2 linked regions of the Mus musculus genome follow. The protein of the gene in region 2 binds, or shares a complex with, the protein of the main gene of each other region. Links are inferred from orthologs where the notes say so. Each region holds a gene or a part of one and is shown on either strand. Other genes may lie near its edges.

What was found.
Region 1: Taf12 (region 2) and Taf3 share a complex: the UniProt entries of both Homo sapiens proteins name them as parts of the TFIID basal transcription factor complex. The link is inferred for Mus musculus from reciprocal best matches to the Homo sapiens genes TAF12 and TAF3.

The regions. Positions count from the first base shown.
Region 1 is NC_000068.7:9,916,631-9,919,728, forward strand, and holds part of Taf3 (transcription initiation factor TFIID subunit 3), read right to left. Parts: exon of another isoform or gene 1,580-3,098; coding exon 1,473-1,579; exon of another isoform or gene 1,355-1,472; intron 64-1,354; exon of another isoform or gene 34-63; intron 1-33. UniProt on the Homo sapiens protein: The TFIID basal transcription factor complex plays a major role in the initiation of RNA polymerase II (Pol II)-dependent transcription.
Region 2 is NC_000070.6:132,280,726-132,284,544, reverse strand, and holds part of Taf12 (transcription initiation factor TFIID subunit 12), read right to left. Parts: intron 2,488-3,819; exon of another isoform or gene 2,467-2,487; intron 1,931-2,466; coding exon of another isoform or gene 1,913-1,930; intron 1,752-1,912; coding exon of another isoform or gene 1,668-1,751; coding exon 1,500-1,667; intron 1-1,499. UniProt on the Homo sapiens protein: The TFIID basal transcription factor complex plays a major role in the initiation of RNA polymerase II (Pol II)-dependent transcription.

The sequences.
Region 1 (3,098 bases), on a different chromosome or scaffold from region 2:
CTGGGAATTGACCTCTAGAAGAGCAGACAGTATTCCTAACCTCTGAGCAATCTCTCCAGTCCAGTAAGTTTCTTATGTTTATAATTTTCTTTTTCTGAGGCAGGGTCTGCAAGCTGTATGCTTCCTAAAAAAAGTAAGTTTAAAGTTTTTGTTTTGTTATGTGTGTTCTGTGTTATTTTGCCTGCGCATCATTTTGTGTACCTGGTGCTGCCTGAGAACAGAAGAGCATGTCTGACTCCTGTCAATGGAGCTGCAGCCCATTGTGAACTCCCCTGGGGTGCGGGACTTCCCTGCTCGGGAGGAGCAGGCAGTGTTCTTCAGCTCTTGTGCCATGTTTTCAAAGGGGTCATTTCTTCCTGGTACAGTCAAGGCTGACCGTGACCTCCTGGTCTTCCTGCCTCTACCTCCTGAGCTGGGATGTGTGAACCCTCGCAGTCAGCTTCTGCAGCTGTGGGGATGGACCCTAAGGCTCCTCCTGCACGCTAAGGAACCACTCTACCAACTGAGTTAAACCAATCCCTTCTTTGTTTGATGCTTTAAAATGATTTTTTTAAGACATGGTGATACGGCTCAACAGATAAAGACACTGGCCACGATGCCTGACAACATAGTCTTCTGAGCCACATGATGGGCTTAGAAGTGGAGAACTGGCTCCTTTCAGTGGTTCTCTGACCTTCACATGCATGGGCTAAAATGATGTGCAAACCAATACAGCATGCTCCACTCCCACAATAGAAATAAGCACAAAAAATGATGTATGTACCAAAAATTCACCCAAAGGTTCTTTGCACTAATGTTGGTTATTTAGGCTATATTATATAATGCCTTCTGTATCGCGAGATCATATAGATTATTTGTACTTTCCATCAGGAATAGTATAATGCAAATGGCTTTGCTTTTACGTTTTAATTTGGGAGTAGAGGCTGAGGGTGGGAAAGAGTCTAAGATAGCCCAGGTTGACCTCAAACTCACTATGTAGCCAAGGCTGGTCTCAAACTTGTGATTCTCAGCATTAGAGTGCTGAAGTTAGCAGCAGCCCAGCTCACCCGGCTCGGGTCTATCGTAGACAGCACACATCAGATCCAAAGAGGCAGCTTAGGAATGAAACGCAGCTGAACACATTTTGGCTGAGCATCTTTGCAAGCTTCAGAAGCAAACCTGCTGTCTGAGTCTCTTCTCAAGCCCACACAGACACGTGTTGTAGCTCTCCCTCCCAATGCCAGTGACAGGGAGGAGGGGGACCCTACACCCTTACGTATTTTTATAAGAGAGGATATATATCTGAAGCCGAGCATCCACGGGCCAGGCTCTGGAACAACAGCACAGCTAACTCTTCAGTCACTTTACTCTGCAGGCTCCATTAGACTGTCGTCAAGAGAGGAGCTGAGTCCGTCTAAGATGCTAGCTGGGGAGGACACCTGCTCCAGCTCGACCTGCGTTGCTGTCTGACACTCGGGGGTGGGGGCACTCACCAGTGGTACCAATCGTCACAGTCGTCACAGCCAATCATCGGGCTCCCGTCATCAGGCTTGTTGCACCCTGGACAGATCCAGATCTGATTGCCCCACTCATCACGGATCTGGTGGTAAAGTGCAGAGCAGAAACAGATGGTGTGGGGGGAAAGAAGCAGGTAAGAATGCTGCTTTATACTGGCCACAGTAAACCAACAAGCTAGGTGCATGCATTAGCACTGTTGTACGCGACCATCAGTCGCCTCTGCTCTGGATCCATAAAGAGGAGAACACCTGGTCATTCAGGAACAGCGTCCTCCTCCTCCTCTTCCCTCACACACTCCCTCCTCTCACTCTCTCCTAGCTCTCTCCCTCTCAGTTTCCCCTACTCTTACACTCTCCCTCACACACCCCGCTCCGATTTGTTGTTATTGTTGTTGTTGAGGCAGATCTCATGAGCTCAGGCAGGCTTGGCTTGGCAGTCACTATATAGTCCAGGCTGGTTTTGAACTGCAATCTTTGCCTCTACTTCCTGAGAACTGGGATTTCTGGTGTGTGCTGCCATGCCTGGATAGAAGGACACATTTCTAATGCACATTCTAAACTGCTTTATAAATCACTAAAAGCAAAGCATCACAGAGTCATCTCTGGGAACCGTGGAACACAACCTGAGTCGGCTTCACCTAAGAATCCTATAAGCTCACAAACCCCCAATGATTATGGGGTGTCGGGCAGAAGCAAGTGAGAGTTAGAAAGCCCTCAGCTTTCTGTATCCCCTCAGCCACGGTCTAGCACAGACAGTCAAGTGTGCATGCGCGCCGTCATTACTCATTAGCCAGGCCCTGCTCCTGAGCTAGGTGATAAGATCAAGGATGGAAAAGAGCTGTTACTGAGTAACTTTCCATTCCCTTTATGACATTTTAGAAAAGCACAATCAACTAAAGGGCGGAGGAAAGAAGAGGCTCATGGGGCCAACGAACTAAATGATTATTATGCTCCAAATGCTGTGTGTTCTGGAAGTTCTGACTTCGTTCTCAACAGGGAGCGCTCCTAACTGGACAGCTTTCTCAAATGTCACATTATCAGAACTGCATGGACACTGGAAAGGAGCGCCGAGTCACGCTTCCTTTTAAATGTCCTCACAGTAAGACAGCATATGACTTCACTACAGATTTTGCAAGGTGTCCTCGTCCTATGCCTTTAGCACTGCACTGACTCGATATGTGAACGACCAGGGTTTCTTTGTGAGGGCTTACCAAGACTGGGCATGTTCTGCTGTATGCATGGACTTGCTCAAAAGTTACTATTTCAAAAATCTCTATAAAGCAATCCACCTTGACCTGAAACTGTTCTAGAGGAATGTGGAGAAAGCTGTCTCTGACTGCCAGCTCTAACTTGGGGGACACTGCACCATGGGGAAAGAACCAGCAGCGTCCCCCAAGTGGGGGTGTCCAGTGGGTGAAGCCACCATGCATGGCTGGTCCTGCTGCTGGCTGACCTTACTTGACATTAGCAGACTTGTGACTCTGAGATACATTAAAAAAATTGCTATAGCACCACAGTAGGACCCAATATTTTCCAGGGTACTGAGTTCTTTTAAAACACATCTTCGATAGTTTAGAAATGGGGAAACAGGAGCTATGAGAA
Region 2 (3,819 bases):
CGGTGCCGCACGCCTTTAATCCCAGCACTTGGGAGGCAGAAGCAGGCAGATTTCTGAGTTGAGGCCAGACTGGTCTACAGAGTGAGTTCCAGGACAGCCAGGGCTACACAGAGAAACCCTGTCAAAAAAAACCAAAAAAAAAAAAAAAAAAAAAAAAAAAAAAAAAAAAAAAAAAGAAAAAAGAAAAGAAAAGAAAAAAAAAGAAAAGGAAAGAGAAGAAAAGAGAGAAAGAAAATCTAACAGTTCTATGAGGGCAACCAACATGTAACCACCTAAATTATTTAGGTATCTGAGTATACCTAAGTAATGTGTAAGCAGCTAAAGTTACCACCCCTCTTTCCTAAGGAAAGGGATGCCACATCTAAATTACATTAAAACATGATGAGGGAGCTGAAGATTCAGCTTAGCTGTACATTGCTTGCCTGGCTTGATCCTACAGTGGATTCCCAGCACCACAAACACAAACAAACAACAAACCGTGTGTACTCCCAACCCCTTTTTGTGAGACAGGTCCTCACAATGTAGCTCTGGTTGTCCTGGGGCTCACTCTGTAGAGCAGGCTGGCTTTGAACTCAGAGCTGCCTGACTCAGCCTTCTGAGTGCTAGTATTAAAGGCTTTACAGCAGTTAGGTGTGTGTATATGTTTACATGTGCCCACCATAATGCATATGTGGAAGTAACTTGAGGAATTAGGATCTCTCCTTCCACCACAGACATGGGGACTGAACTCCGATTGTCAAGCTTAGCCGCATGTGCCTTTACTGGCTGCTACTTGGTGACCCTCTGTTTCTTTGAGACAGGGTCCTGAACTTGTTTCCTGACCTTCCTCCTACCACCTCGAAAGTGCTGGGATCACAGGTGTGACCTCCACACCCACTTTCTCTTGTTCTTTTCCAGTGGCTTCCAGAGTCAACACAGGCTGGTCTCTGCTCAGCCAACCGTTCCCCAAGCAGCTCGGCCAGTCCTTCTTCCCACTCCCTTGAAATTGCTCCTCAACCGTCCTATGCAGCCTACACGATCCAAGGCAAAGGTGTACTTCTTTTCTTGTTGCTCTAGAGGGTGGAATCAGGCTCACAGGTATGAAGAGGGAATCCCTGCTGACATTGATGGCAGCAGTAAGATAAACTACAAGAAGGAACAAAAGAGCAAAAACTGATGCTGGAGAGATGGCTCAGCGGTTAAAAGCACTGACTACTCTTCCAGAGGTCCTGAGTTCAATTCCCAGAAACCACATGATGGCTCACAACCATCTGTAATGGGGAGCCAATGCCCTCTTCTGATGTGTGTGAAGACAGCTACAGTGTACTCACATACACGAAATAAATAAATAAATCTTAAAAAACAAAAAACAGACCTGACACTGTAGACAATAATTCAATAAAACTGGTAGAGTGGAAGACCTTCTTCAACAGAAAGAATGAGCGCCTGACAACATCCATCTCTGTATGGACAGGGCCAAATTAGAGAGGGGGCTCTGAGGAAGAAAGGCTCGGGAGTACCTGGTTGTTTTCAGGGCTGAGACGACCACCTGTCCCAGGAGTGCCTGCTATCTTCCCCACGGTGGTGCTATTGGCCATGGAGCCTTGTGGCGGGGTGCTAGCTGGCTCTGGTTTTACAGATGAGAAACTGGAGAGGTTGATTAGCGCTGAAGGGCCAAACTGGTTCATAATCTGCCGAGCTTTAGACTTCAACTCATAGAGCTTGTCAAGATCCTGCTTCTTTTTAGAGCTGTGAGGACCAAGGCCAATCAGCTGTAGAAGGGAAACAGACAGGGTTACTCTAGAGACACCTGCAGTGCTGGCTGAGTTCTGAAAGTAACAGGAAAGCTGTCAGACTCTGAGTCTTATCTGAGAGGGTGACCTCTTGACGTTGACATTAAAATGGAGGGAATAAGGAATTTCATTGCTCTCACCTGGTTTTTAGAAACCATCTTGTCTCCAAAACGGAAATGAAATAGTTCACAAAATTGAAATAAGGAAAAAAGTAAGTGAAATCAGCAATCTTATTTTAAAAAGTAAACTAGAATAAGTAAGACATTTTAAAGGGTTTCATACAAGCAGAATACTGGGTTAAGTACGTACATGCATTATTTTAAGTATCAAATAATGTTAAATTCAAATAAACAGAAGCACAATCAAATACTTGAAACTCAGTCACAAAGCTTAAGAAAACAATTAGTTCACTTTCAAAACATGGTGAAGCATTCCAAAACATGCTTACATCCAAGGCAGGGCTCTGCCCAACAAACACAACTTTTAGCAACTATTAAGAACTCTGCTTTCCTGGTAACAAACTTTTTCCATTGTGTTTTAGCATTCTTCAAGACATGCTGAGGCTCTTGCCTAAAGCAGCCAGAAATCCTACATTTTAGAGCCATTAGACTGACTCTGGACATCGGCTGTGGTGTCAAGATCAGAAGCACATTCACCAAGTTCTGCCCATGGCAGCCTCCAAGAATTTACTTACTGCTATCTGAGTGTCTAGATCTTTAATTACATCAGCAACTGCTGTAAGCCCACTGTAATGAGAGGCAGCCATTTTCAAAAGCTACCTGTAAACAAATAACTAGTATCAAGTACCACCCTGGCCAAAGAAGTATTCCAGTCGTGTGGCATGGTGCAATTACACCAGCAGGGATCCAGCTGAAGATGCAGCTCAGTGCTAGAGTGCTTGCCTACTATATGTGAGGCCCTGGCTTTGTAACTCCATCAAAAGAGTACTGTATCAGATGTGGCTGCTGAGGCAGGAGAATCTTGGGTATGAGGCCAGAGTCAGTCATCCAGGTAGCTGTTCTTACTTCAAACAGTAAAACTATAGGCTGCACGGTTGAGAGTTCAATTAAATAACCAAGTCTAACCTCCCTCATCCCATCTGCCACAGCTAAGCTGGGGTTGGCAGACAGAATGGCATGCTCTAACGGCCTTTCCTTTTAAAAGCTTTCCTTTGCTGGCCAGTGGTGGTGCATGCCTTTAATCCCAGCACTTGGGAAATAGAGACAGGTGGGTTTCTGAGTTCAAGGCCAGCCTGGTCTACAGAGTTCCAGGACAGCCAGGGCTACACAGAGAAACCCTGTCTTCAAAAATAAAAACAAACAAAAAAACAGCTAAAAAAACCAAAAACACATTGTGATCACTTTTTAAAGTAATAGTGGCCCAGGCTGGCCTCGAACTCGTGATCCTCCTGCCTCTGCCTCCTTCAGTAACCGGCATGCGCCACCACAACCAGCTTAAAGTAAAAGTGGATGTTTTTAATTACATAACTCAGGAGGAAGAGGCAGGCAGATCTCTATGAGTTCTAGATTAACCAAGGGTATACAGTGAGACCCTATCTCAAGAAAAGAAAAGAATAAAGGAAGGATGGAAGAAAAAAGGAAAGGAATGAGTGAAAGAAAAAAGAGGGAAAGTTGGGAGACAGGGATAAAAACAGATTCTATTTAAACAATTTTACTTCTGTGATGGTCAGGAATTTTATTATTGAAACACAACATCGGAGTCAAGGGGACTGTTTGCTGGTGGCAGAAAAGCCTTGTGACTATGGTGCTCGGCCTGACTTCATAGTTGGGTTTTACCTGGCTGTTTGTTTCCTCTCCAGCTTCTGGCTGTCTACACAGATTAGTATTTCATAGTCTACTGAACTAAAAAGAACCAGTGATCTGAGACTAGGGAGCAAAAGAAAAGGTTTTTGTGCTGGGCGGTGGTGGTGCAGGCCTTTAATCCCAGCACTTGGGAGGCAGAGGCAGGCGGATTTCTGAGTTTGAGGCCAGCCTGGTCTACAAAGTGAGTTCCAGGACAGCCAGGGCTACACAGAGAAACCTTGTCT